Linked DNA regions of Lonchura striata. The protein of the gene in region 4 purifies or fractionates together with the protein of the main gene of each other region. This does not show direct contact. Links are inferred from orthologs where the notes say so. Each region holds a gene or a part of one and is shown on either strand. Other genes may lie near its edges.

The links.
Region 1: the proteins of RNF7 (region 4) and TULP4 purify together in Homo sapiens (co-immunoprecipitation; 3 studies listed by BioGRID and IntAct, with this or other methods). This does not show direct contact. The link is inferred for Lonchura striata from reciprocal best matches to the Homo sapiens genes RNF7 and TULP4.
Region 2: the proteins of RNF7 (region 4) and RAB40C purify together in Homo sapiens (co-immunoprecipitation; 4 studies listed by BioGRID and IntAct, with this or other methods). This does not show direct contact. The link is inferred for Lonchura striata from reciprocal best matches to the Homo sapiens genes RNF7 and RAB40C.
Region 3: the proteins of RNF7 (region 4) and ASB6 purify together in Homo sapiens (co-immunoprecipitation; 4 studies listed by BioGRID and IntAct, counting the BioPlex papers as one, with this or other methods). This does not show direct contact. The link is inferred for Lonchura striata from reciprocal best matches to the Homo sapiens genes RNF7 and ASB6.

The regions. Positions count from the first base shown.
Region 1 is NC_134605.1:53,849,031-53,857,065, forward strand, and holds the start of TULP4 (tubby-related protein 4), read right to left. Parts: upstream 3,218-8,035; 5' UTR 3,151-3,217; intron 3,127-3,150; exon of another isoform or gene 3,033-3,126; intron 1-3,032. UniProt on the Homo sapiens protein: May be a substrate-recognition component of a SCF-like ECS (Elongin-Cullin-SOCS-box protein) E3 ubiquitin ligase complex which mediates the ubiquitination and subsequent proteasomal degradation of target proteins.
Region 2 is NC_134618.1:2,658,047-2,665,205, reverse strand, and holds the start of RAB40C (ras-related protein Rab-40C), read left to right. Parts: upstream 1-3,896; 5' UTR 3,897-3,988; coding exon 3,989-4,142; intron 4,143-7,159. UniProt on the Homo sapiens protein: RAB40C small GTPase acts as substrate-recognition component of the ECS(RAB40C) E3 ubiquitin ligase complex which mediates the ubiquitination and subsequent proteasomal degradation of target proteins.
Region 3 is NC_134624.1:3,661,207-3,668,681, forward strand, and holds the start of ASB6 (ankyrin repeat and SOCS box protein 6), read right to left. Parts: upstream 3,198-7,475; 5' UTR 3,174-3,197; intron 2,332-3,173; 5' UTR 2,269-2,331; coding exon 2,156-2,268; intron 1,735-2,155; coding exon 1,553-1,734; intron 1,211-1,552; coding exon 1,104-1,210; intron 801-1,103; coding exon 692-800; intron 211-691; coding exon 124-210; intron 1-123. UniProt on the Homo sapiens protein: Probable substrate-recognition component of a SCF-like ECS (Elongin-Cullin-SOCS-box protein) E3 ubiquitin-protein ligase complex which mediates the ubiquitination and subsequent proteasomal degradation of target proteins.
Region 4 is NC_134612.1:12,595,311-12,602,568, reverse strand, and holds the start of RNF7 (RING-box protein 2), read right to left. Parts: upstream 3,205-7,258; 5' UTR 3,171-3,204; coding exon 2,993-3,170; intron 1-2,992. UniProt on the Homo sapiens protein: Catalytic component of multiple cullin-5-RING E3 ubiquitin-protein ligase complexes (ECS complexes), which mediate the ubiquitination and subsequent proteasomal degradation of target proteins.

The DNA.
Region 1 (8,035 bases), on a different chromosome or scaffold from region 4:
TTCTATTTTGCCAACTATCAACACATCATAAGACCTCAAGTCCTAAAGTAATTATGAAAATGCACTAATAATGTAATTAGTGATAATCAACTGCACATCCCAACTGATAGAGACAGTTGGAAAATAACTTAAAGATGTGTATTTCACAGCCCTAGTTTCAGAAGTTGTTCTGCCACGAGATGCATTACAAAAATGAGATACAAATAGTGACTCAAAAAAATGAAATATTCTGTACAATTTCCATCAACTCTACCATAGTAGAAATGAAGCAAAATACCTAAAATATGAGGATAATGCCCATGTAACTCACTCATTCACACACTTTTTTTTAATCCTGATAGATACCAAGAGATATCAAAGTCTGAGCAGTCAACCTCCCTGGTGACTGAACTAGAGATGTGTACCATTAGTACCTGACCACCTTAACAGGAACTGTCTTGAAGCATTTTCCAGCTCATCAATGAATTTAGTTAAGCTTTCAGCAAGGTTTCTTCTGACATTAGGAAGAGAAGTCTGTCCTCCATAAAGCATAGGCTTAGCTCCCAACACTGGCATAGAAGGTCTGGTATGAAACTACCTCAGTCCTCATTAAATGAACAACAGAAACAGAAAGGTGAGTTTGTTGGGGTTTTATTGTAAAAAAAAAGAATGAAATCAAAAAGTCTGATTTTATTATTAGAGCTTCTCATAGCAATCACAGCAGACAATGATCTCTTTATGAGCACTAGATTACATGATAATAATTACCCTAAGATAAGAAGAGAATAATTACACTGAATTATTTTGCAAGGTGCTTTGAGACCTACTAATGAAAAGCAATGCTAAAAGCTGTGTATTATAAGTATGCTTAATAACTACATAAAACAAGTACAACTTTTTATAAAGACTATAAACAAAACTGATTTTATTTGAAAGTTCAGCTGAATCAATTTTTTGTGATAAAAATGAATCAGCTGCATGACAACAGCTTTCTTGGTAAAAGTTCACAACAGAACCATTTAAATCTATTCATTGCCTTACTGAAGGAAATATAATGAATATTTTAAACTGTCCACCGTGGGCTCAGTATAGTTCAACATAGAACAATGAATGTGTTAAGGGTTTTACAATAAACACCTGTTGACTAGGTAAGAAATCCAGTCTGTTGTCAGAGGCAGTGATACAACGCACAAAAAAATTAATTGTCTTTCTATGAAAATCATTCATAACAATTACAGTTGTCAGTTTTCTGAGCTATTTTTAATCTTATAAATAGCTATCTATATATACTATATCAACCCACTACCTCCTTTCAGCCCCCAAGAAACTGCTAATGACCTTCTTACAAAATTCCATTGGGGGCGTGGGGGAATATGCAGTTTTTTGAAATAGCTCTACTTTGCCTGACATTCCCACTGCCTGTGAAAAATGAGGCCCACTCGTGCAAATGTTCCTTATAAGAGCAATCAGGTTAGGAACTGCTGGCGTGAAGCTATTTCTTGAACTAGGATTACAGGATCAAGCTGACAGCTAGCATCCCCGGGGATCACCATGATTTTGCTATTGTGGACAAATCTGTGATGGTATCTTCAACATAACTTTACCAGAAATCTTGACACAATGAGACAACAATTTAAGTCTTTAAGCTTAAATATAAACAGTTAAATGTTAAGGCTTCATATGATCATCTCCAAAGCTGTCAATATTGTATTATGCTATTTTGACACAGGTCTTACTAGACTTCATTTTATTAAACAGTTACTTTAATATTTAAATTTTGCAAATTATTTGTAAAAACAAATATTAAGAAACATTTTTTTTAATTTACAGTTTTCACTGGTATAGAAAATATCCATTTCAAATACCCCTTACCTATTCAAAACACAGGATGTTGCTCATGAATCAGTAATCCTTGGACAAGCAAATTTAATCCTGGCAAAATGAAACTACCTATGACAATAATATGACTGCAATTATATTTTTTTTAAGATAAACATTTTCTATTAAAAAGCCTTTGTTTAGTTCTTGTTCGAAAAACATATATATCTAAGCCATTGGCAAAAAAGGACTCTTAAATACAAAAACATCACATTTGACTCAGGCAATCCCTTAACCTCAAATTGCTGGAGGCCTGGCTGGTTTCCCAAAGAATCACAGCACGCTCACCCTGTTGTTATGGTGTTTCCTAAGCATCTGCTATGTGCCACTTGCAGAAACGGCAATCCAAACAAGACAGACCTTTGATCTCACCCCATACAGCTGGTTTTAATCGCCTGTTCTAATGTCTCGGTCAAATTTAAGCACTGAACTGGTAAACGATTCCTGCACTTTTTCGGAAACCTTTAGGAAGCCAAGGTGCTGGAACACGTTCGCGCACAGACGCTTACTGAGAGGCACGACGAGAAGACACAACACAAAGAATGCGAAGGAGTTGCGCTCCTGAGGCGGGTCTCTGCACATCGCGGGGCGCGACTCCGAACCGTGCGCCCCCCGCCACCCCCGGCCCGCTAAGGCGGGGGCACGGGGGAACGTAGCGGGAAGGGAAAAAAAAAAAAAAAATAGGAGAAAAAGACAACAATATTTACAAATGGCAGCGCGACGGGCGGTGCACGGAGAGTCACAGGTGATGCCGGAGCCAGCGCTTCCCTCCCCGCCGCCGCCCGGGGCTCCCGGACCGCCGGGGGAGGGCGGCACCACCCCCGCCCCGCGGCCCAAAGCCGCAGGTGTGCGGGCAGGACGGGGGCTCCGGGCAGGACGGGGGCTCCGGGCAGGACGGGGGCTCCGGGCAGGACGGGGGCTCCGGGCAGCCTCCCGCCCGCCTTCCCGGGGCTCATCCCGGCCGGTGCCCGCCGGGCGCGGGGGAAGCGCGGCGGGAAGGACGCGGCACAGGCGGACGCGCGCGTCCCGGCGGCGCGCCGGCACCCCGCCGCCCCCGGGGAGCGGGACCGCCGTGCCCGCGGCCGGCGCCCACCGCAACAAAAGGAAAACAGCCCCGGAGCCGCCCGCGGCCCCGCGCAGCGCCCGGCCCATCCCGCTCCACCTCCCGCACTCACCTCGGCGCGGCGGCGGCGGCAGAGCGGGCGGCGGCCACTCGCGCCCGCGGGCTCCCTCCCTCCCGCTCCCTGCTCCCCTCCCTCCTTCCCTGCCCGCCCTCCCGGCTCCGTCTCTCACCGCTCCCGGAGCGGCGGCGGCGGCTGGGCCCGGCTCCCCGCCACGTGACCCCGCCACGTGACCGCCGCCCGGCCCGGCCCGGCTCCGCCCCCGCCGGCGGCCGCGCCGGGATGGGCCGGGATGGGCTGGGATGGGCCGGGATGGGCCGGGATGGGCGGCGGGGCGCGGCCGGGACACACCGCGGCGCGCCTTGGAGCAGCTCGTCTGACCGGGGAAACAGCCGCCAGCACGGCCTGTGTCCCGCCAGACCAGATCGCAACAGCGGGCGTGATGTGACAGCAAAGCGCTGGGAGCGAGCTTGCCCCTCCTGCCTTCAGGGCTGAGAAAGAAGGAAAGTATGTTGGAGCCAGTCTCTGGGGCATCGAGCCCCATCGCGGACTTCGCACTCCTCCCCGCAAGAATAACAAGCGCTGTATCCCTGCGTTTTTGACTCGCACCAGACGCCACAGCGAGCGAAAATTAACTGTGCTCACCAGTGTTCCATGCTAAGCGTAACCTTTGCTCCCAGAAAATAATGCTTACAGTAATGGGTCATGGGGTGTCTTGTCGGAGGGAATGCCTTTATCCTTCAAACTTGGAAATTCAGGATACAATCCAGAGATAGCAACACTACAAGACCTGGGAGAGCCTCGGTAAAAGCAAACTCCGTGCTCTGGTATCACATTCAATGCGCATTCACTTTCTTCAGAAAGGAGTAATAAAGTGCCTGATCATAAAAGGTGTGAAGCACTCAGTAGTTTAAGGAAACCTCATACAAACTGCAATTATCAGCTCTAGAAAAGCCATCCAACGAAAAGTACATGAGGAGCAGGAAGTGAAAAGGCCCTATCCCCTGCTGGCTTTAGTAATCAAAACTTACAGACCATTTCAGAAACTGAAAAGGTAAATATTTTTCACACCATTGCCAAGAGCTCTATAAGGATTTTATCTTACAACCTATAGCAAGAAGGGGCCAAACTTTGTGTCGGATGACCTGCTACATGTACAAAAATCTGAAAGATTGAAGCTTGAGATAATGTGTTAGAGCTGGGTATACATTTTGTCTGTTAATAAAATTCTCATTTAGGAAAAAAGTTGCTTTTTACTTAAGATTTTCAGTTGTGATACACAGCTAAACCCCGGGACACCTCTTAAAAGATCCTATAGCTAATAAATAAAAGCTGTCAATTTCTGGTTGCATTACAGAGTTGTTATCAACTAAGTGAGCTGTGAAGACCTGAATGGCCCACTGGACATCTTCACAAGGCAGCCATCACTACCACTGGTAGGCTTATATTTAATATATTTCAGTAAAAAATTGAAAATTGTGAGGAGCCAGAATAGTTCAAACCACTTGTGGTTTGACTCAATCATTCTGTCTGACTTCAGCTGTCTGTGTCTTAGCTGAATTCCTAGTTTACTGGCCATCATAAGAACTAAATTTAGGTAGGAAAGCAAAAAAAAAAAAAAAAAAAAAAAACCAAAAAAAAAAAACCCAAAAAAAAATCAGAGAGGTTTGCAAAACACCACTGCAGCTTTAATTGCCTTTGTAATCCCATCCTCTTCACCCCAGGCACTGTGGGGCAACAGTGTTGCCCTGGAGTCCTTTCTGAGCTGCATTAGAAGTTGCAGCTAGTTCATAATCACAAGAGAAATCTGTTTGGTAGTTGCTCACCAGCCTCTACACACCATGGCCGGGACTGAATACCTTTCAGGAATCCCATCCATTCTACATCCAGTTATGTACGTGTTAGGAGTGAAGGAAAATACATAGATGTTTATTCCTTCTAACTCTATCAACATAACACATTTGTCTTCCAAAAATGAATTTACACAGATGCAAAAAGAGTCTCAGGAACTAGAACCAGATACTTCAGGTGTTTAAACCTTGCAACAGAGGTTTAAACAATCATTTTCATCTGTGAATCAACAAGATCTTTTTCCATGCTGAGGACAGACTACAGCATTCCTCCATGTGCAGACGGGAAGCTACAGCAATCTTAGATTAAGTCCATACATCCTTACAGATGTGACAAAGCTTCATCTTCCAAAGTGGAAATAGAAGTTAAAATCTCTACTATTTATAGCAACAGAACATGGTCTTGTAACTTGCCTATGGGACACTGTTGCTCTATAAATGCAAGAGGAGATCACACTTGGGAAAATACTGCTACTGTATTTCATCAGGCTTGTGAAACTACTTTGTACTTTTTTGAACATTTTTTTACTATGACTAAAGGTACTTCTCTAGGATAATGAAGCATTTTAAAGCATACTTAATTCACACTTCACAATATTTTTTGAAGATATATACAAAACATAGAAAACCCAAAGGAAATAGACAACCTTTTCCTTCACTAACCCACTCATCCCTTCCTCCTTCAGTCTACTAAGTCTGACCTAAAGTACCAGTTCATTTGATTATGGTGCTAACAGTATAAATATTTTAATAATCCAACTGCAACATTTAATGCAACTTCAGCAATACAAATTAATAGAAACATAAACCTAAAATTATGTTATTAAAATCATCATCTCCTGCACCATTATTAATTTTATTGCAAAGCCTAAGAACCCCACTTCTTTTTGTTTAATTTGGTTTTCTGATTGTTTGACTGCTTTGGTTCTTCTCAGTTCTTGGTATTACTGACCTAAAGAAAAGCTTAGTTACGTAGCCATTTTGACAGGATAATAAAGATCAGTCAAGCACAGAAAAGTTTGTAATTTTTGTTATTGGAATATTGTGAATTTAAGATCAAAGGCAAATACACATTTTCTTTCAGAAGGAACTCAGCTCTGTTTCAATCATAACCAGGCCTATGCTTCTTCATTTTACCCAGCTGTGAGAGGAAGCAGCTACTTTAGTATCTGTCCATTTCTGTAGTCCATTAGTCCCATATTCTCAACCCTCTAAGGAACCAAAGGCTAGCGTCTTCTTCAGAAAGACTTTCTTGTAACATTTCCTATATTTTTAAAGGCAGACACCATTAAAAAACACTAATAATGACCCTCACGAAGGCAGATGATAAATCCCATTTGTCTACAAGCAACTGCACAAAATTTTTTTAATGTCTTATTTTTAATTTCAAAAACCATGAGAATCTTCAGCTTACCTTCCTTGTTCTGCCCAGTAGCACATCTCGTATTTTTGTCAGGTAAAACATTAATACTCTCTTACCCTTTTTTAATTGTAGACACTTTCTTCCTATTTCACTTCAGGTTTCATGATTTCTTCACCTTTCACAAGCTCGCTTTGTTCATGGTCACTTATACTTGGGACAGAAAACAAAGCACAGGACTTTGTTGCCTTCCAAATCCAATCAACATTAGCACTGCAAAGAACAGAACTGTGAATGCCAGGGGTTTTGTGTTCCCAGAACTGATGAGCTCTCTATATAAATTCTCTATTCTATATCTATCTATAGCTATAGCTATATCTATATCATCATAACTAATCCCATCCTAAAGACAGTTTCATTTAAGATGCAGATCTACTAAATCCAGATAACTATGGAATAACAAACTATTTCTACACAAGAACAAAAAAGTGCTTGCATCTTTAAGGTGTAATCATTAGCAGATAAGCAAAAAAGTGTTTAGTATTGGCATGTGATTAAATCCACACAAGTCTGATTGTTCTAAAAACTTAGCAATACCTTTGAGTTCAACAAGCTCAATTCATCTACGTATGCTATAGAATCAAGAAGCATAAAACTAAAATTAAGGTATGTCTTTATTTCACTCCAGCTTTTTGGTCCTTCTGGAAATAAAGGGAAGCAGAGAATTGCCAAAATATCCTAAATTAAAAGAAACAGAAAAATTTCCTTTATAGGTTGTAAAAAAAAAAAGGCACATAGAATTCACCTTGCAGAACACTACCTCACAGAACCTAGAATAGGTACTGAAGTGTCTTCCAATGCAAAAGCTGCTTTTGTAGATGCCTCCATTATTCTACTTTCCTCCTTCACCTCTGTCTGGATTTACAGCATGAATGACTGTCCCATTTTTAATGCATTAGAGAGTTTCATATGCTAAGTTGCTCCCTTTTTTCACATGCAAATCTATCCATTCCTTCCACACATAAACTTAACTCATTTTTGTTAGTTTCGTATGCTCAGCTGATTCCAAAAGGCATTTCTTTTTGATGTAGCTCACCCTGAATTTTCCTTCACCACAGAGGAACACATCAGAAAAAGATAAACAAGTCAGCTTACCTGGGCAGATTCCCCAACAGAGCAAGGATTTCCTCCGTAGCTCATGGAATAGCCAGGCTGAAGGAGGATTGACCAAACCCTACAGTTGCCTGTTGCCTGGCTGTTCACTCCAGCTTCCTCCTGCCTCATTTTTTGTTGTGGAAACAGCTCCAACCTTCCACATATATTTTGTCCCACCTTCTTCAAGAGCTGAACAGGGAAAACAAGACCTGCAGCCCCTCAGAGTGAAGTTGACACTAGAGCAGAATTCCTGGTAAAATTTGCAACCCTGTGGGGAACCCAGGCTGGAGCAGGCTGTGCCTGCAGTGCTGCACCACATGGAAGAGTGACCCACATTGCCGTAGTTTGGGGAGGACTGTTGCCTGTGGGATGGACTCACACTGGAGAAGTTTATGGAGAGCTGTCTCCTGTGGGAGGGACCCCACACTGGAGCAGGGAGAGGACTCTTCTCCCTGAGCAGTGGCACAAACATATGGTGATGAACTGACCAGAACCCCTATTCCCTGTCTCCCTGCACCACTGAGGGGGAGGAGGTGGAGCTGGGAAGGAAAGAAGGGTGGGGGGAAAGGTGTTTTTAAAGTCTTATTTTACTTCTCATTATCCTGCTCTGATTTTTTTAGTAATAAATTCAATTAATATCTCTAATTCATGTCTGATTTGGCTGTGACAGTATTTGGTGAGTGATCTCACTC
Region 2 (7,159 bases), on a different chromosome or scaffold from region 4:
AGGCCAGTCCCATGCACCAGTCCAGGAACAAGCCCTGCTCAGGAACCACACTGGCTTCAGGCTCATCACAGCTCCAGTGCTGCAGGCAGGAGTGCTGGGAAGAGCAGTGACAATGCCAGCAAAGCCAGTTGCAGCAGGGATGAGGGATGCTGCACATTCATTCCAGTGCTTGTGTGCAAGTTCAGAGATGGAGAGCTTTGTTCTAATTACAGGTTTTATTGGTTAATTCAACCTTTTAATCAAAACTTAAATTGATTTTGATTACTCCAGAATAAAGATGATAGGAGGAAAATCCAGCCCATACCTCTAGTTTGACTTGCTGCTGAGCACAGTGTGGCTGTCAGCAGCACAGGGATGGGGCAGGGTGGCTGCTAGAGGCTCAGCTGATCCAGTTCATCCCCATCCCACAGCCTGGCTGGGCAGTTCCCAAACCTCTGCTCTCACACACGGGTATTTCAGCATTTATCCAGCTGTAATTGTTCTGCCAAGGCCAAACCACAAAGCTTGTGCAAGGAGGAGTCAATGAATGCCACCTCAAGCCTGGGAGATGGTTGGAGTGATGCTCCTCCAGCTCTGGGTGCCCCTGTGATCCAGAGGGGGGTTCCTTGGTGTCACATGAGCCTGCCCATGTGGCGTGCTCAGTGTGAGGGGCAGGACAGGGGACAAGCCCCTGCAGCACAGCACAATCCGAGCAGGAGCCCAAGCTGAGCCTGGGAATGATGAGTCCTTCTGGCCACTCCTTCCCTCCTCACAGCAGAGCAGTCACTCCCTTGAATTCCATTCCTTTCTCCTTTGCCCTTTTCCAGCTGAATGCACGGCTGTGGCTGATTTCCCACATTGCAGCAAGCCCCTGCCAAGCTCACCCCTCTGCCAGGAGCCTCTACCAGGATTGCCCCTCTCACTACAATTCCCACCTGTCTGGGCACTGGTTTCACTATCCCACCAAAGACAAGAAATCCCTGGAATGAGCGAGCCATGAACAGGACTTTGGCTGGCCCTGTGGAGTGGCAGGACTGAGACCCAGAGGCTGAGAGATAAAATTGAGGAGATTCCTGCCCATCCTCCTCCTGTCCACTTGCACTGCTTTGGATCCATTGGACTGTTGGACAGAAATGAGGCTTTTCTCCCCTCCTGGGCAAAACAAACATCCCCAGGTCGCCCCTCTCCCTTCCCCTGCCCTGCTCACCAGCCTGTGCCCTGGAGTGGATGTTTCCCCACAGGCTTTACCTCCAAGCCCCTCTGCCCCGGGAATGCAGTGGCTGCAGGAGGACATCTGCTCTTTGGGTTTGCTTTAGGTGCTCTTTGGGTTTGCTTTAGGTGCTCTTTGGGTTTGTTTTAGCTGCTCTTTGGGTTTGCTTTAGGTGCTCTTTGGGTTTGCTTTAGCCGCTGTTTTGTTTTCCTCTGTCAGTGCCCTCTGTGCTTTGGGAGCAGCCATGGGAGCTGGGAGAGGGCACACAGGGGGGCTGTGTTTGGCCCCTGCCAGTGCAGAAGCCAAACTGAGCAGCTGAGGATGAGGATCCCCTTGGCCCATAGGACACAAACCCCTCACCAGAAGAGGCCCCTAAAGGGATCACAGCTTGTGGCTCCAGGGCAGCACAGGAGCTCGAGCTCTCAGGCTGTGGGAGAGGGAGCCAGGCTGAGACCACCAAAGAGGGGCCAGACCCCCCTCCCTGTGAGTGTGGAGGGGGCAACTCTGGAGCAAGTCCAGGGAGCCCACGGAGATGTCCCAAGGGCTGGAACCTCTCTGCTCTGGAGCCAGGCTGGGAGAGCTGGGGGTGCTCACCTGCAGAAGAGAAGGCAGCAGGCACACCTTAGAGCCCCTTCCAGGGCCTGAAGGGGCTCCGGGAAAGCTGGAGAGGGACTGGGGACAAGGGATGGAGGGACAGGACACAGGGAATGGCTCCCACTGCCAGAGGGCAGGGATGGATGGGATATTGGGAATTGGGAATTGTTCCCTGGGAGGGTGGGCAGGCCCTGGCACAGGGTGCCCAGAGCAGCTGTGGCTGCCCCTGGATCCCTGGTTGTGTCCAAGGCCGGATTGGAGCAGCCTGGGATGGTGGAAGGTGTCCCTGCCCATGGTAGGGGTGGGATGGGTGGTCTTTGAGGTCCCCTCCAGCACAAACCATTCTGTGACTCTATAAAAACATCCCACTTTAATCCATTCCCTCCCTTCTCCATCCATGAGTGACCCTGCCCTGCTTCCCAGCCAGCAGAGTTCCCCAAGGAGGATCCCGCAGGATCTTTGCAGGCTGAGGGACATCTGTGGTGCTGGCAGGGCTGGGGAACGTGGCTCACTGAAACGGGATTCACTGGAAGCTGGAAGCTGGGAACATGGATGGAGTGCCTAGCTCTGGAAAGATGAGCAAGATGCTTTGTTCAGCACAGGGATTTATTTGTCAGCAATGACAGCAGGGATCCTCCACACCTTCCCATTGGGAATCCCCTGCGACTGGGTTTGGGAGCGGTTCCTCAGCGATGTCACACCAATGCCAAGGGATTCCAGTGAGAGCATCCAGGAGTCCTGGCTACAGGCTCAGCCTGGCACCCACAGCCCCACTGCTGTCCCCATTCCCTGGGGACATGCTGGATGTCACCATGGCTGCCCCCTGCCCCACCAACAATGGAGTGCACACACTTCCCTACCCAAGAACCCGCTGCCTGCCATGAAATGGATGATCACCCACCTGGATGCCCCCAAACTGTAGGTGGCCCTCTTTCTGGATGCCCACCCCAGATCTAGAGGAGGACTCCTGTATGCCCTCCCTCCCTACCTCCCACGTACCCACCCACCTGGACATCTCTCACATCTGGATGTCCCCGAGTCCTGGGTGCTGCCTCTTCTTGGGTGCCCCACACATCTGGAAGTGCCCCATCGATGTGCGCCTCCCATCTGGATGCTTAGCTCATATCTGGATGCCCCCCCAATCCCGGATGATCCCTGGGTGCCCCACACACACGGATGTTCCCCAACCCCGGTCCCCAGTCCAGGACCCCAGTCCCAGTTCCCCAATCCCGGTCCCCAATCCCAGTTCCCCAGTCCCGGTCCCAGTTCTGCAATCCCGGTCCCCCATCCTGGTCCCCAATCCCGGTCCCCAATCCCAGTTCCCAATCCCAGTACCCCTATCCCGGTCCCCAATCCCAGTTCCCCAGTCCCTGTCCCCAGTCCCTGTCCCCAGTCCCGGTCCCCAGTCCCAGTCCCCAATCCCAGTTCCCCAATCCCAGTTCCCCAGTCCCGGTCCCCAATCCCAGTTCTGCAATCCCGGTCCCCAGTCCCAGTTCCCCAGTCGCGGTCCCCAATCCCGGTCCCCAATCCCAGTTCCAGTTCCCCAATCCCAGTTCCCCTATCCCGGTCCCCGGTCCCGGGTGCTTCTCCCCACGGCGGGTGCTCCCCCGCCCGACTCGCCATCCCATCATGCCCCACTTCCCGCAAGGCACGCCGGGAGCTGTAGTCCCCAGCCGTCCGCTGGCCTTCTCAGGGGCGCGTCGGGGCGGGGCGCACCTGATTGACATGCAACTAAGCCTATGGGCGCGGCGGATTTGCGGAGGAGGCGGGGCTGTCTCTGATTGACGCACACTTTAGCCTATGGGAGCGGCGAGAGCGGGCCCGAGGCGCCTCCCGGGCTCGGGCGGACGCGTTGGGTCCGTGAGGCGGGGGCGGCCCTGCCCGGCTGAGGTGGGTGGCGGGACCTGGCGCTGCCCTGGTGCGGTGCTGCGGCCCGGCGGGGCGGAGCGGGCTCGGGGCCCGGCGGGGCGGCGGCGCTTTGTGCGAGTGGGAGGGCGGAGCGCAGCCGTGTCAGCGGCGGGGGCGCTGCGGGGCCGGGCCGGGTCGGGCCCTTCCTCCGCCTTCTCCTCCTCCTCCACCTCCTCCTCCGCCGCAGGTCCCAGCGCGGCCCCGGCGGAAGATGCGCGGCCGGCGGTGAGCGGCGGCGGGGCAGAGGCCGCAGCCCGAGGCTGGCGGGCGGAGGATGCGGGCCGGGCCGCCCCGCCGATGAGAAGCAGGATGGGCACCCAGGGCAGCCCGGTGAAGAGCTACGATTACCTGCTCAAGTTCCTGCTGGTCGGCGACAGCGACGTGGGGAAGGGGGAGATCCTGGAGAGCCTGCAGGACGGCGCCTCCGAGTCCCCCTACGCCTACAGCAACGGTAAGAGGGGCCGGGGGGCCGGGCCGCAGGACCCACATCGCTGTCACAGCCCTGCCGCTGTCACCTCCCCCCGCCATCGCTGTCACCCGCATCTCGCGGGGACCCCGAGGCCGGCACCCCAGCGCCGAGCTGGCGGGCAGGGAGGGGTTGTTTTGCTTTTGCCTTTGTTTTTTTTTTTGGTTTTTTTTTTTTTTTTCATTAACTGGGAGCTCAGCGCGTGGCAGGCAGCTCAGAGGCCTCCTCAGCTCCTTGAAATGCCCGAAATCTGGAGGAGACTGTGGGCAGAGGGGCTGGTGTGTGATGTAATCCCTGGATGCGCAGCCGGACCCTTCCCCAGCGGTCCCGCTCGCAGGGCAAGGCTCGCCTCCCTCTCCCCGGCTGCCACAAGGACCGAGCCGTTCCCAGAGGAAGCAGGAGCTGTAACAAAAGAACTGGAGCCTGATTCCCAGCCCAGCGGCGCTCTGGCTCGGTGGCTGTACCGGGAGCGGCCGGGTTGGCTGATCCACCTCCTGCCAGCGTCGAGGTTCCTAATGGAGCCCATGACAGACCATTAACTACGGTATCGCAAGACCGTAATTAAGAGCCAAGGAGTAGCGCTGTGCATTTCCTGCAGTTACGGTGTAGCACGGCCTGGCGGGGTGCGGGTCCCCCTGTGGGTTTCAATCTGTCATCCGTCCCTCTCCTCCGTGCCCGGTAACATCCCCGAGGGCTCAGACCCTGCATCACCGCTGCAGCCCAGGGCAGGAGCAGGTAGTGCTGAGTTTTGCCTGTATCAGGAACCCGAGGGAATCGGGGGCTCCTTGGTGCTCTGCCCTGGCCAAATTTGGAGCATGCAGAGTGGTGTGGCTCCGACCACGCTCGGTCCTGGGAGCCACCACCAGCTCCCCAGGAGCTGATGTAAGTGCACACCTGCTCCACAGAGATTTACGGGGAGGTGGTGACTCAGAAGTGGAGCTGCCTGTGAAATGGGAGCAGCGCTTCAAGAAGGAAAAGGCTTTGCTATCGTTCATCTCCTCGGGTGTCTGGCTGGACTGGTGTGGTTTGCCTTTGAGTAGGTGCTGGGCACTTCAGAGCTTCTCTGAAGAGAGTTTGTGTTTCTGGAGAACCTGCCTCACCTGGGAGCTGTCGAACTGCTCTATAGGTTTGGTCTTTACTATGCAGAGTGTAGAGGGGTGGCTGTTTTAAGTGAAGTGTTACAGTTGGAATTGTCTCCTGATTGAAGTGAGTTTGAAGCAGACAGGGTAGGAATAAGGAGTGAGTTAAGTGGGGTCTTTGGTATAGGCATGAGACCCAAAGAACAGAGATTTTGGCTATGACTATAGACCTTTTGTCTCAGAACCCACTGTTTTGTAGCAGCTAAATACCAGCATCTTTTTGTTGGAAAAAGAAATCTCAGTGAATAATTTCAGAACCTTCCCTTGTCCTCCATGAGCAATTGAGCCCATTCCTAGTTAGAGAATTAGGTCACATACTGTTGTTTCACAGTAATACGTGCTCTGATAGTCTCTGATTCTGTTGAGTCTGGGAAGTGAAGCACCTTTAGGATAATCAGCTGGAGTGGTTTTGATATCCAAGTGAATTTCATCCTGCTGATGCTGCTGACAGCTTTGGCAGTGGAACTCCCTGTGCCTCCGGCACAGCTGGGACGTGCTGACAGGGCATGCTGCTCCCCTGCCCTGACAGAGACCATCCCCTGAGCAAAGGCTCTTGGATTTTGGGAACAGCTCGAGCCTGGCATCCTCTTTCACACGTACCTAATGCCTTCCCAAAACACCAATGCTGGAATGTTACATGGAGGTTCTATTTGTAAATCTACTTGTAAGCACGTTGTCGTCGTCCTCATCCCCTCCCAGATCCCACAGCCCAATTTTAAAATGAGTGTTGTGTCATTACCACTATTTTGGTCAGTGCAGAAAGCATAACCTGTGTGTGCTTTGGGCTGCTCTTGTGATGGGAACATCTTGTGTGGAGCTCAAGTCCTAGACCTTGTCAGGAAGGGGAGAGAGAGCATTTGCTTTCTCTGTCTTGGTTGGGGTGTGCTGCTGTTACTCTGTTGTGTGGAAACAGTTGTAAGCAGCCAGGTTTTGTGATGCAGCGTGGAAGGGATTGTCCTTCCAGCTCGGGGAAGGCACACCCTTAGAAGTGAAGCTCTCTAAATGTAGCTCTGTATTTTAGCTGCTCTTACCCAGCCTATTAGAAAGGGATTGAGGGATTCCTCTCTGCTCCATGGGCATCTGGATGTTGGATCAGCACACAGCTGAGAGATGAAAAGCCCTTTTCCTGCTGGATTTTAGGTGCAGTAAGCAGCCTCTGCCTGCTCCTGTCCAGTATCGGAGAGCCTGGGATGCAGCGGGAGCTGTGTCTGCCATACAGCACCATTGGTGCTTCTGTCCATCCTGTTCCAGAATCCCTGAACAGCAGTGTCACTTCTCAGCACAGCCTGGGAGCTTGGCACCTCGTTCTAAATTTGGCACATCTTATATTAGCCCCTGCAGTTCCTGTAGTGCATAGCAAGACCTTTCTTTAAATTGCTGGCAAAATAAACCTGCTCTGTGGGAACAGAGGTGATTGTTCCCCTGGTGCAGGAGGAGGTGTGAGCGATGCCCTGACCATTGCTGCACCAAGCTGTGAGGGCACTGAGTATGGGACTTCTAGTGACAAAAAGGTGGCATTTTGAGGAGAAAATTGACGTCCAGTTTCACTTGTGTGTTCCTTACCAGGTTCGTGCTGGATCTATGGAGTATATCAGCCTCCAGGAGCATCAGACAAGCATACTCCCTGTGAAGAGCAGGGAGTGTTGTTTCTGTCCTGTGGCTGGATATTATAACTGATTTGGACTTAGCTTTTGCTTTTTCTTGGCCATCTGCAGAAGACCCTGAATTAAACCTTCCTACTATTGTTTTGACAGGGAGAATATTAATGCTCTTCTGGGCTTCCAATGTTGTCCCAGCTTTCATCCTCCCTTTCCCAAATCTGAAGTTGTGGAGGCAGGATGCTGTTCCTAGAGCCTCACTGCT
Region 3 (7,475 bases), on a different chromosome or scaffold from region 4:
CAGGCCAGCACCAACTCCAGCACCCCTGGGCTTTTCTCTGACTCCATAAAGGAGTCAGGAGAGCAGTGCCTGGCGCTGCACAAAGAATCAGCCAGCCCAGAAAGGGAAGAAGGTTTTCTTTACCTCCTTCCAGCAGGAGACGGATGCTGTCAGTGTTGTGGATCTGGCCACTGTCACTGCTGGCCAGGGCATGCAGCAGTGCTGTCTTCCCTGCAATGGAGCAATCAGTCACAGATGACAGGGTGACACCCCAAAAGGCAGGAAGGAAAACAACCCGCCCCACCCACCAGACAGCCAAACATAGGGAGTGACAACCAGTCTTCTGGCAGAGGCTTCCACTGTCCCCATGATGGTGCCCAGCTGTGGGGACAGTCAAAGACCACACGTGCAGGGCTGATGGAAGCCTCAGTGGGTCTATGTGCCATGGAAGAGTGAGTTTTAGAGCAAGTGCTCTAGGACAACAGAGGAACAGCCCCACCCCACCTCCCGTGGACTGCACAGAGCTAGGTTCAGCCCTTTTCATACAGCCAGCACACCAGGAGAAAATATCGAGTGCAGGGAGGTTCTGCCAGCTTCCTCCCAGCTCCCACACCCGACTGTAAGCAGGGAGCAGGCACAGCAGCAAATGGCCCAGCCCTGTGCCCTGCCCCAGCCCACCCTCAGCTGGGGGAGCCGGGCGGGGCGCACGGACCGTTCTTGTCGGCGGCGTTGACGTCGGCCCCCAGCTGCAGCAGCCGCCGCAGGCACGGCAACCGCTCGGGCTCCTCGCTGGCCAGGTCCAGGGGACTGCTCTCATGGATCTGCAAAACAGTTAAAAACAGTTAAAACACACTGGCAGATGTTGAAGTCTGTGAGTGTCAGCAGGGAGTTGCTGTTGGGGTTTTATCTTGGCCACAGTAAGTTTATCTCTCCAGCCTCCTCCCACACATCGCTCCAAGGCAGGGGCTCAGCCAAAGCCAACATGACCTTCAGGCACAGCACCACGGACAGTGGGCACAGGGATGTGCCAAGGGGAAGCAGCACAAGCAGGAGGGAAGCAGGAGGGCTGTCCCCACACAGCAGAGCAGCTGAGGCCTGGCTGTGCCCAGGCAGCGAGGCCGTACCCGGTCCCTGCGGTTGATGTCGGCGCCGTGGCGCACCAGGAGCTCCACCACGTCCGGCTGGTTGCGCAGCACCGCCATGTGCAGCGGGGTGTAGTAGGTGACTGGGTCTGAGGACAAAAACAGTCAAAGAAAACAAAGGGCTTCCCCAAAACGGCCCCAGTGCCTGCCAGGAGTGGAAGGGGACAGCTGGGGAGGGCCCTGGGAGCACAGTGATGCCTGAGAAAACAGGCACAGGCACCCCAGGTCCTGCTGCTCCAGTGGCTCCATCCTGCCAAAAGCCCCCCTGGTGCTCCTGGGTACACACAAGGCACATCCACACTACTCCAGCAAGGAGCAGGAGTGTCTGAGCTGGCAGCACCCCCTGTTTGTGCCCCAGCTATCCCCACCTGCCAGGGCAGCTTCTCATCTGCCGGTTCCTCCTGGCCCAGCCTCCTTCCCACCAGCCTCACCTTCAAAGCTGAGGTCAGCACCAAATTCCAGGAGGATTTCTGCAGCTGGGACAAGCCCCAGCTCAGTGACCTTCAGCAGGGCATAGCTCACACCTTCCTGATAAAATGGGGAGTGGATCTCCCTCTCCAGGACTCTTCTCACAGCTGAGAGCTGGCTCCTGTCACTGTCCAGGCAGGCAGGGCTTGAGACACACAAAAACCCAGCAGTTACTCAGTGAACACAGCTCAGGTGTGCAAGGGTCAAAGTGGCAGCAGGGAAGAAGGAAAATCCCTGGTCTTCCCTCTGGTCCCATACCCAGTGGGTCTCTGACCCGCTGGTTGTGGGGTTACACAGCAGCCTCAGGGCTGAGCTGAGCCCCAGTTTAGGCTTTGTTGCCAGGGGTCAGGCAGAAAGGGCTGTTCCTGGGGAGCCCCCACAGCTCCTGTGTTTGCCTTGCTGCACCTCCCTGTTCCCAAAGAACAGCAGCAAAATGAAGGTCTGTGGGATGAGCTGCTCGCCAGGACTGGAGGCTGTCCAAGCCAACGCTGTCCAACCTTGGCCACCTCCCTGAGCTCCAACCATCCCCCAGAAACACCCTGGGGTGTTCAGCCCCCCGCTCTTACCTCTCCAGGGAGCTCTGCCCTTCCGTGTCAGGTGTGGCCAGCAGCCCCAGGAGCTCATCCACCAGGGGCTGGTACTCCAGGACGATCCTGCGGAAGCCGTGCAGGAAAGGCATCGTGATCTGCCCCGCCCGGGGCCTCCAGCACGGCACCGCTGTCCTCCAAGGGGCTTCTCCCTCCTTCCAAACAAACGAGGCTTTCAGCAGGTTTGAGCATAGAAGAAAACACAGCCTCCCCCTCCTTACATATAAAGGCAGCGCAGGGATCTCCTCCCACACAGCGATCTGGTGTCTCCAAATGATCTCCTGCGCTCTGCAGTTATCTGGGCACGGCACGGGAACGCCCAGGCGGAGCCAGGACGGGCACAAAGCCCCTGTGCCAGGAGCCAGCCTGGGGGTGCTCCGAGGGGTCTGCAACCAGCAAAGCCCTGCCTGGCTTTTTGGGAGAGGGGCTGGAGCCACCCCAGGGACCGCCCACCCCGCAGATCCCTCCTGGGGTTCAAGCCCAGGAAGCCCCAAAATCCCCGGGCAGCCCATGGCAAGGGATGGGCAGGAGCCCCCAGACCCCAGCAGGAGGAACACGAGACCCTGCACAAAAACCACACATCTTAATTCCCTTATCGCTCTTTACCGAGCTGTAACAGCCCAATTAAAATAAGTTAGTAAAAAACAACACTAATTTTTCTGCTCGTTTTACAATACTCCAAAGCGGGAATATTTTTGTTATTATCAGCACGTACGTGTAAATAAATAAATAAATAAGGGTATGCACCACTCCTGACATACAAATATTTTTAGGTGCATTAAACACACCATCACACCTTTCCCTGAGGAGGCAGATCAGGCTATAGCGGGGGGGGGGGGAAAAAAAAAAAAAACAAACGAGTCCATAAAGCCCGGTTCTTTTTCACAGATAAACACCCACGAATTGCAATGCAACCCCCGCCGAGCAGGGCGGGAGGGAAGGGAGGCCCCGGCAGCGCCCTCCCCGCACGGCTCCCCGCGGCCCGGCCGCCCCTCACCTGCCCGGGCACCGCCACCGGAACCGGAACCGGAACCGGAACCGGAACCGGAACGGGAACGGGACCCGGGGGCGGGGCCTGGCTGGGGGCGTGGCCATTGGGGGCGTGGCCTCGCTCAAGGCGCTGCCTCGTCGAGCGGCATTGCGCATGGGCGTGGCTTTAAAGGGCGTGGCTTCAGTGGGCGTGGCCTCGCACGGGGCGTGGCCGTGGCGGGCGCGGCCAGCAGGGGGCAGCACGCGGCCGCGCGCGGGATGGGGGGGACGGGGGCATCCCCCGGGGTCCCCCCTCTGTCCCCCCCTTTCCCCCCCTCTGTCCCCCCCTTTTCCCCCCATTTCCCCCCCTTTTCCCCCCCTCTGTCCTCCCCTTTCCTCCCTTCTGTCCCTCCCGGGGCGTCCCCTCTCTCACGGGTGTCACGCCCCGCCTATCCCCTTCCTCGGTGTCCTCCCCCGTCCCGGGTGTCCCCCCATCCCGGGTGTCCCCGTTTTCCCCGATGTCCCCCGTCCCTCTGGAGGACCCACCCAGGCCGGGCTGGCTTTGCTGGGAGGTGGCACCCAGTGGCTGCCGCCCCCCCGGGGCTCGGGGTGGCTCCGGTGCCGCTGCCCGCAGCGCCTGGACCCTCCCCTGCTGAAAGAGCTACCAGGGGGAGCATTAGCCCAGGATTTATTGGTACTATTATCATAATCATCATTATTTTTATTATTATTCTGGCGGAATCCGCCAGCGCGGGGAGCTCTGGAGAGCGGCAATAACTGAAGCCGCCTTGGGTTTCCTATTTACGTATTTATTTTATTCCGGTGGAGCGCTTCCAGATTCCAGCAGGCAGCCGTGGCCTCGGGGCAGAAGGGGCGAGGAGGCCGCCCCGGCTGGGCATTTTTCTGACATGCTGTCACGGTCCCCCCTGTTTCCCACCCTTCCTTTCCTCACACAAAGTGGGGTGCCAGGCTGGAGGTCCCCAGTGCTTGCAGCCCCTGGACCCCGTGCCCACCTTCAGGACAGGGCTCTTCGCAGGGTGGCCCCGGTGCCACCAGGATTTGGTGCTGTGCAGTGGCACCTCGATCCTGCACCCCTCCTGCAGCCCAGCAGCCCCCCTGGGTGGGGTTTTGGGGTGTCATCCCCGTGTTTGCCTGAGTAGGGGTGGAAATAACCCCATCCAGCCCAGGCAGGGAGCAGAGGGGGAAAGCAGAAGGGAGAGTGAGGGACGGGGGGGATTTGTCCCTCTGCATAGGGGGGTTCAGCTGGCTTCAAACCAGAGCAGCCTGGCTGGGGGGACCCCATCTGGGGTGGGCTGGGCAGCTGAGACCCTCATTCCAGTCCCAGGTAAAGCCACACCCTGGGCCCTCTGTTCCCAGTAAAGCCCAAAAAGCCACAATCCAAGAAAACCCTGGACCCTCCACAATTCCAGTGGCAGCACGGGACACAAACCCCATCCCTGTCTGTGTGGCACTGGTGGGCACTTTGGGCAGAAATCGCTTCTCCTTTCCTGCTGTTGCTGGGAAAGGAGGGCTGCCAAGGCAGGGTCACCCCAGTGCCACCTCTGCCCCCAGCCATGCTGTCCCTGAGGATGAGAGGGGACACCGAGCTGCCCCAATGTGCATTTTTAGGAGCCCCACAGAGGCTTTTCCCCCAATTTGAAAGGAGCTTTTGGGGACACAGTGTGGGACCAAACCTGGCTCCAAAGCAGCCCTGGGAGGTGACAATCCAGGAGAGCCACGGGCTGAGCCCTTCCCTTGCCAGCAGCACAGCGAGCCCACGCACGTGGGAGTCCTCCCTGCCACGGCCACACCACGGGACACAGCGCAGGGAGATTCCCCAGCCCCACATTTCCTGGGAGCAGAGATTCTGCTGGCAGGGCCGTTCTGGCCGTGCTTGGGCGGGTGTTTAGTGCCTGGCTGGGAGAACAGCACCAGGCTCTGCCCCTTCCTCCCCACGGCCTTGGCGGGGCGGACTCGGAAGAATGCGAGTTGGCCATCCATCAGGGAGACACAGCAACAGCCAGCCGAAGAAAGAGGGGCATTTTAGGAGGAAAGCCAGGGAAATTTGATCATTAAGAAATCCTCCTGGCTGTCTGGGGGAATTTAATTAAATTGCTGGAAAGGGCTGTAAGCACATCTGGATCCAATATGTGCCGCTTTGATTTTTTTCTTTCTTTCTTTCTCTTTTTTTTTTTTTTTTTTTTTTTTTTTTTTTTTTTTTTAGTTCACTCTTTTCCCATCTCGCTGTTGAAGGAGGGGGGGAATAAAAGGGAAATAGCAGAGCCACGGAGTATTGGTTCATCTGGGACTGACTGGGATTCCTGGCAGGGAAAGAAAGAGAGGGAGAGAAAGAAAGAGCAGAAGAGAGGCAGAAAGAGAGGGAATGAGAAAGCTGGGAGAAAAATCTTCAGCAAGGGGCTTGCTGGAGTGTTTTATAATGCCACCAACCACAGAGACAGGGAGCTAGGAGGCAATGGGGGAGCTGTGAGGGCTGCAGGGGAGAGGAGCCAGCGCAGGGCATGCTGTACTTTTGGGGTCTGGCAGAGATGGAGGGAGAAAGAGGAGCTGCTCAGTAAATCCAGAAACACCATTCCTGCTGGGAAGGGCAGGGCTGGGCACGGGGGACTCCCCCAGCAGCTACTCCTGGCTGTCACCCCTGCGGGTGGCACTGCCCTGGCCCCTGCCTGATGCCCCGGGGGCGGAGGGGGTGCTCTGATCCCCAGCCTGGGCAGCACACGGGCCGGGCACACACCCCAGAGCCCTTTCCTGGTCCTGGCCAGGCACTGCCAGGCCCCCGCCATCCCCCACACCCTCCTCTTTCCCACTCCTTACCCCAAGCATCCTCCAGGCAGCAGAGGTGCAACTCCACGGTCAGAAAATCCTTCAGCTGTGGGCGAGCCAGCCCAGCTCTCTGCACCAGAACATCCACAGGGCGAGATTTTGGGAATGTTAGGAGGGAACTCCTGGGTACCACAAGGAGCAGCACCATCCCAGGCAGTGCTCCAAGGAGGCTGCACTGCCCCTGTCCACGGTTTTGGGGTGAGGAGGGGCTGGGGCTGGCAGAGCACATCCAAATCTGTGCCGTGCCGAGCAACACGGAAGCACAAGGTGTTAGTGCAGCGTGAGAGAAATACCAGGAAACCCCAAGGAAACACAAACTGAGATTACCAAACAAATATTATATTTTCAATCTTTTTCTTTCGAGAGGAAGATGAAGGACTGGCAAAGAGAAACACATCCATGCCAAGGGCTGCAAACCTGGCAGGCTCTGGACAGACAGATCCTCACCCTGAGGAGCCCAGCACAGCCCAGCACAGCCCAGCACAGCCCAGCACAGCCCAGCACAGCCCAGCACAGCTCTGAGGGGCCCAGCACAGCTCTTCCAGCTCAGTGCCTCTGCTTCATCACCCAGCAGTTCTGGCCCAGCAAAGCTGGACTCAGAGCTCACACCCAGCTCAGCAAAACCCAGGTGCTGGTGTCAGGTAAAGCAAACCTGCTCAGCTCCGTCTCTGCACCACCCAAAGCTGAGTCACCTTGCCAGCTTCGAAGTCCAGTTTAAAACACAATTTTTACCAAAAAATTAAATGATAAGAGCTTGCACAAGCAGGTTAGGGAACACCAGGAGTGTGTGTCTCAAGCAACCAGGTCTTGCTTGGGATGCCTCGTGTGGCTGGTGGTGTTAAAAAAACGATGCTGAGGAAAAAAAAAAAAAAAAAAAAGGGCAAATCCTACAGCTAAAAAGGAAATTGCATTAATACAGATTGTTTTATTTAAAAAAAGCAAACCCTGACCTCTACTTCAAAAAAGTCATTAGACATTCTCCTTCTGAAAGGCCGACAGGGGATATTATTGAAAGGCCAGTTAATTTCTCAATGACTTACTGTTCTTGCTCTGTTCATGGAAATGTGTAAAGAGTTGGAGGGTAATTTAAGGCACCCTGCAGAAAGGTGTGTAAATCTTTGCATGTCTAAAGAAACTTTACCAGACCACTAAGACTGGGGGAAAAAAGAAAATGCTGGCCCTCTTTTTTTTTCCCTTTTTTTTTTTTTTTTTTTTTTAAACTTTCCTTTGGAACTCTGATCCCCTTTGATCATAAAAAAGGTCATATTTCAACCAAAAAAATATCAGCAATCACAGGGCCCGAGGAAGTGCGAACCCAAGGGGGTTTCACCGACGATTATTCCCTCCATTTAATTATTTAATGCCAAGGACTGAGGGGGAGCTGTCTCCCCTGGAAAAGCCAGACAGTTCAAGAATAAGGTCTGGCCCTAAACAAGGAGGAGGAAGAGGGTTATAAACGGGGGTGGGGCTGCTCCATCCCCCGCTCCTG
Region 4 (7,258 bases):
CTGAACTTTCCAGCGTGTTTTGTTTATTTTCCATTGCTTTGGTATTTTCATAACTTTTGCTGAAAAAAAGCCTTCTCCATTTTGTAGATACGAAAGCCCGCAGATTTGTGCCAAGGCACTCAGGCATATTAAGACCAGAGCAAGCACAAAGCCAAACCCTAATTACAGGACTTTGTTTTTCAGATGTCAGCATTTCCTTTTAAGGAAGTCATTCACAATTTTGATTTTTCTAGGCTGTGCATCTCTCACCACAACTCCCACCACCTATTACTCTTTATAGTAGCCTCCCTTGACAAGTACCTGCATCTAATTTTCACAGGAGTCACACACATACAAATATAGTGGTACATTTGATAATATATGTTAATAAATACAGAACAATATCTAATTAAAAATATTTATCATCTTTATTCACTCCAGTCTGTGGCTTTAAGATTGGATGGCAGCTCCAGGACTCAATAAGATACAAGAGTGACAACTTCCAGGCTTCCCACTGTGCCACACAATGCAGTGGAAAAGTACCTTTGCTTCTCCTTTGCCCCAACTTGGGCTGCCACAGACACACGTGCACGGATCATGCACAACAGAAAATGTTCAACTGTTATGTGAGCAAACACATCTTTATCTCTTCCAAAGAAATGTGGACACTTAAACAAGTGTCCTGCCGGTTGAATCTGGCTTACATGTCACTGGCTGGACCATATTCTCCCAAAAGACAAAACTCTAATGTGCTACAGGAATTTAGATTTGAGTATTTTTGCAGTCTCTGCCAGATAAGGCCAGTATTTGTATATTAGGTTGAACTGCCTAGACATTCCTCCTTTTCTCAGGTAATAGAGAACAAAGAAGAGAGAACTCTAAAACAGCTGCCCTTTCTTCATTGAGACAAAAGCAAAACTTTTGTGTTGTCTGTCCCTAAAATTCGTATTTCAACACCAGTTAGGGGCTAAGGTGCTGGGAGGATTCAGCCAAAGTGCTTCAACTCGTATCATGGTGTGTGGGAGCCCCCTGATCCAGGGTCACAGCAGAAACTCACAATAAATCAGCTGCCCTATTGAGCCCTAGAGTTGCAGCTTCAGACAGAAGCAGCACAGAGAGCCAAGGACAGAAATCACTGCCACCACACCAAAGTAACCTGTCCCCACTCCCACATCATAACCCCACAGATGGGGGTCAGTCTGAAAGGCTAAGGACAGCAAAGCCAGTCCAGCTGCAATCCTGTGCTTCCCAGCTAACACCTGCATTTTTGTCCCTTTCTCTTGTGCATCTAAAACTACCTTGGGTGAACGAGTTAAACCAGCAGAAAATGGAGCCAGCTAACACCTCCTTCCCTGCAAAAGTCAAACTAACCTTCAACAAGTGCCAGTCTCAGTCTGGCACTGCCCCCACCTAAGGTTACTGCAGACGCAGTGGCTCTACAGGAGCCAGACCCGCTCTGGCAGGGTCAACACAGAACTGCTAAACTGAAGTCAGTAATCATCAAATTTCACATTCTAACAATGTGGTTTGTTCCCAAAAAACGGTTACTAGTTTTTTTCAGATTTTTTTTTCTAGTTTCAGATTAAAAGTACTCCCTTGGTCTAGCAATTAAAAAATTAAGACTTTTTTTTTTTAAACTTTTATAATAGCTCTGGGTAAGATTTTAATTTAAGACTTTTTTTATAGTGTTCTGTAACAGCCTAGCTTACAATGGGGACAAATGCATTTTTAAAATTATGGTTTAAATGGCAAATGAAGACAATTTCATATTTCCAGAGTGGTCTCTGTTTACTTGTACACCCTTCTGCCTCCTCTGTTCCAGAGAAAGTTCCCAGCAAAATTATTTAGGAGAAATGACAGAATGGTATATTTTGCCTCATTTATGTTAAACCAAATGCTGATTTCATTTTCAGTATCAGGGTTCCTGGCCCTACAAAAACTAGGTGCTCTGGCGGGAACTTTGGGTCATTTGTCCTGCCGACGTGCTGCAGACCCAACTGCGAGGACAGCTACACCTAGGATGACTCAGTCCAAAATAATTGTAAAAGCTGGACCTGCACACACAGTAAAGGAAGAATTTAAACCGCTTTTGAAGAACTAAGATAAATCTCATATTTGACAAAGATGTCAGAAAACAGTAATATGAGTTAACAATGAAGGTGCTTTCAAACAGTCTCTGGGTTTCAAAACCAAGTAAATTAACCCCTTACTCACTAAATTTCTCAGTACATTTGTGTGTGTTAAACTGCACCAGCAATCACGCTTGCGAAGTAGAGTCTGACACCCTGGTTTAACAGATTTGAAAAATCAATTTTTACGTACATCTGTAACTGCTTCGTAGAAAAAAAAAAACCCTTAACAAAACCCACCCCATAAAGAGCAGCCCCACGCATGCAGCACTGGCTTCAGCTGGGCTCTAAGTCCGTGCTTGCGGATTTGCCCTCATGACGAAGCCGGCACCGCACGGGTCACGGCGCGGCCCGGCCGGGCAGGGCCGGGCCGGGCAGGGCAGGGCTCGGCCGGGCAGGGCCGGGCCGGGCAGAGCCGGGCCGGGCAGGGCCGGGCAGGGCAGAGCCGGGCCGGGCAGGGCAGGGCCGGGCAGGGCAGGGCAGGGCAGAGCCGGGCAGGGCAGGGCAGGGCAGGGCCGGGCAGGGCAGGGCCGGGCAGAGCCGGGCCGGGCAGGGCAGGGCTCGGCCGGGCAGGGCAGGGCAGGGCCGGGCCGGGCAGGGCAGGGCCGGGCCGGGCAGGGCCGGGCAGGGCCGGGCCGGGGGGCTCTCGCTGCCCGACAGGGCCGCCTGTGGCCCCGCAGCGCAGCGGCCCGGCCCCCGCGGGGCCCTCCTCCTCCTCCTCCGGGAAGGCGCGGAGGAGGAAGCGGAGGCGGGAGGGATCAGCCCCCCCTTCTGCCGGAAACCGCGTCTGTGCCCGGCGCCCGCCGTGCCCGGGGCGGCAGGCACGGCCCCAGGCCCGGCCCCGGCCCCCCGCCCGCGGCCATGGCGGCCCGGCCGCCGCTTACCCATGACCTGCACCCGGCAAATGGCGCAGGTGTCGCACTCCACGTCCCAGCTCCACATGGCCACCGCATTCCACTTCTTCAGCGAGAACATCTTGTCGGGGGCGCCCGCCTTGGAGCCCGCGGAGCCCGGCAGCGAGTGGGGGGCGCCGGGCTCGTCCCCGTCCTCCACATCGGCCATGGCGGAGGGGCGGGGACCGGCGGCCGCGCGGGCGGCAGCGCCACCCTCCGGCGGCGGCGGGAGCGGCACGGCGGCGGCGGCGCGGGCCGGGCCCGCGGGGCGAGGAGCCCTCGGAGCCCTCAGAGCCCTCAGAGCCCTCAGAGCCCTCGGAGCCCTCGGAGCCCTCGGAGCCCTCGGAGCCCTCGGGCACCGCTGGCGTTCCACCGGGACACCCGCAGTGCCAGGCTGGCATTGCTGACGAAGGATGTTCTCCTTCGCAGAGCGCAAGTGCAGCAATCCCGACCTCACCCTTGGTCCGGGCTGCCGGGAGTGTGGGGGAGAAGACCCAGTCGTCCAACGCAACACGTTTCCTAGGACTGCTGACAGAACAAGTGAAACACCTCTGCGGTGGCGTGCACCTTGGCCACCTTCGTAAGAAAGTAAAAAATAAAAATTGTATTAAAGATTGCATGTTTGCACATTACTCAACTATCAATTCAGAAGCACCTTGAACACTGTTAAGCAGCATGTTAATAAAGCCTTTTAGCCTGGCTGAATCACACTTCTCTCGATCCACACTGTTCAATTCCCTTTGCCAGCTCCACTCCTTTATCTCATCATTCTTTTCTGTCCATTTTAAAAACCATCAGGGCATTTCTGATTTCAATTACTAGGACTAGATGTAATCCAGAAAGTTTAAAATATTTTTTTAAAAATTAAGTACATTTCATTTCTGCTGTGTAAAATGTCAACTACCTCTAAACAGAGATTTTAAAAAAAGGGAAAAAAATTCTGTTGGAGTTTTGGGGCTTTTAGATTTATACAATTTGCCTTGTATCCCTAAATGATGCAATTCTTCAGTTCTAAGATTCTAAGGGCAAATTATGTCAGATATTATAATTGTGTTTGAGTGCTGTCAAACCATCATACATGTGCTGTACACGATGCAAAGTCAAATATAAACTCCATTTACATTAGCTGTGAAAGTAGAGCAAATATGACACAGGCACTTTGACTCTCTCCATACTGCCTTAGAGAAATAAGTGATAGCTTCCTACCTAAAAATTATTTTCTTGCTATTTTATCAGCTAAAGAGCTGTGTAAGAAAAATTCCAAGCCGTTTTTGAGAAGTAGTTCTGGCAGTCTGTAACTCACCTATCCCCTGCAGCCACAAGGTGGTGGAGCCACCATTCCTGGATGTGTTTAAAAAAGACTGGATGTGGCTCTCAGTGCCATGGTTTAGTTTAGGTGTTAGGGCATGGGTTGGACTCAATGATCTTGAAGGTCTCTTCCAACCTAGTGATTCTATGATTCTGTGAAAATTATTTTTATTAAAAACAAAGCCTTGACAAAAATGTCAGTTTTATGATAATGCAAAGAACAGTTATGTAAGCATGTGTTTATCTTGGCCAACTGATGCATGTACTGGACTGTATTATTCCACTTACTGTTTGTTCTGTCAATAGATTAACATATATCAAAACACTTGAGGACCGTGTCAATTTATCTGCCAAAGAAAACAATTTAAGCTTAAGTCTCTACCAAAACTATTTCTTAAACTCTGGTTATCTGCATCTCTCTGTGCCTCTTTCCCAACAGGAATATGCTACATGGGTCTACTAATGGCCAGTAGGGCTGAGACTTGGCTACAGTGGGGGTGCAAGAGGAAGACAGCACAGGGAACAGTTTGTCACCGCTTGTGACAAACCCACCTGTAGCAGCTCCTAAGGCTTTACTGAATCTGCCAGGTGCAATTGCCAAAATGGAAAACAGACTTCAATGCTGACAGGTACAGTTTCTATGAAACAGAAGCATATAGCAGGCATGCAGAAATACGCAGAAATCACAATAGGAGTTAGGGAAACAATGTATTAGTGGAATAAACTGCCTGCTTTTGCACTGGGAGGATCTCACTGGATGGGAAGAAATCACACAAATATATTGCTGCACAGCATAGCAAAGGGATCCCCATATTCCTATAGATCTATTTGATTTGGCATGAACTTCATAAAAGTCCAGGAATGAGCTCAAAGACTGAGAAGTAGCAATAATTCCAATTCTTAAGTGCATTGTGCTTTACTCTTCAAGTGAAACAAAAGAACGTTAATGACACATAATACACAGAAGGGAAATCCTTACAGAAGTTATGAAAAAAATCCCCTTAACTTCTGCACAGGAACCTCTCTGCTTCAATGGAAAACCCTGTGTCACAAGAGACTAAAGAGATCCTGACTTTGCTGAGCTGCTTTAATCAAGTCTAAACCCTTGGAACTTCTCCATTCTTCACACAACACCCTAGCTCATCCATCTTTCCTTCTGCAGCAGACATTAAAAACCAGTGACACAAAGACTCCTGACTGCTTTATGAAATTCTATACTGTGTTTTTGTTTGCTAATTATTTTACTCTGGAGTAAAACTCAGCTATTACTATTACCTCTGAGCAGTGCTGATTTTCAGGTTAGATGTCTATCTCATATCCATTCTTTAATTTAGAAAACCTATGAAGATAAAATTTTCCCTATTTTAACTGTAGTTAGCTGTTTGAGAATGGACCTGCATTCTGAATTGAAACCTGGAAACCAAATGATGTTGTTCAGTTGTTGTGCAGGGGCACAGCCCCCATCTATTTTGAAATATGGACACTTCCTATAAATTTGTGAGGTAGTACAGTTTGCCTTACTATTTTTAAAATCCCTGATATTTGGATCCTGCCTAGTATCAGGATGGACCCCAAAAAAGCCACTCTTAGAAAATCCAGCCCTCCAATCCACACCAGACCTCCGCTCCGCAAAAAAATCCCTAAAACCACAAAAATAAAAACACTACCAAGAGAAGCCATGTAACTTGCCTATAGAAACTCCCTTTACTCACATATTTAAATTACTGGAAGGTGTTGCACAGGGGAACTTTATCTTCTCATTATTCACCTTTGCAGATGTTATATCCTGTGTACCATGTCACAACTTTTTTTTACCTTGACCTACTTTTCTATTTTTAGATTTTGGCCAAGGTAGTGACAAAAATATGCATTTAAAATTCAAGTATATATAAAAATAATAATAACAAACAGTTATAAATGTCACACCATGACAGAATGGAAGAACTCAGCTGGAGTTACTCAGGAGAAAACTAGATTAATTATTTTGGCTGTCACAGAAATCATTGTTTTGTGTTTCAAAATGTTCTATCTTTCCTCTGGAACTTTTCAAATTTGCATTGCTATACAAAGCATAGTGCCTTCTGTTACCCAGTATGGGGAGACTGAATTGTAGGTACTTCCCCCTTCTTTCATTGAGTACTTTAAAGGTCTGTGGATGAAAGCTGCAGCTAATTGTCAGGTCTGTATTACTGCATTACTCTGGATCACTTGATTCTTAAAGGGGAGTTTCCTTCTTACTCATTTTGTCTCTGCTCCCTGCTTTTTCCAGGCTCGTTTCTGTATCCTGCAGCAGCAGTGTCCCAGCGAGGGCTGAGCTGAACCCAGGAGCTCCAGCTGAGCTCTCAGCAGCTGCTGCAGCGAGTGACCCTCTGGAGCCTCTGCAGCCCAGGATACACACATCAGCCTGTCCCTGCTGCTCTTTGCCACCACAAAGCACAGCACATCCCAGATCTCTGGAGAAATCAGAGGGACCAGGTAAGAGATTTTTACCTTTAAGTCTTGAATTCAAGTCACACAGTAGGTTTACTTGGCTGTTCTATGATCCTCTCGGCTTTTTCCCCCCTGTGTACGAGGAATGACCAAAAATAAAAGATGAAAGTGGGGAACAAATTCACTGCCCCTTAAAGCAAACTAATTGTTTGGATCAATAAAGTTTCTAAAATTGGTATAATTATTTACGTCCTCTTTGGTGAAATTGTTAACTAGACTTCATACAACTGCCATGGCATTTGCAATAGTAATTATGCTAAAATAATAATGGACTCAAACACTGAAAAATCTTGATCATACAAGATTTTCTATGGAAAATTGTGTTAAGCAAGGTGGATGAATTTTATTATTTATCATAAACATTTATTAACATAAATAGTATTTTAGAAGCATTTCAGCAAGGTCATATATTTGCTTTTATTAAAAAATTACCCAAATTATTCTTATATGTAATTAAAA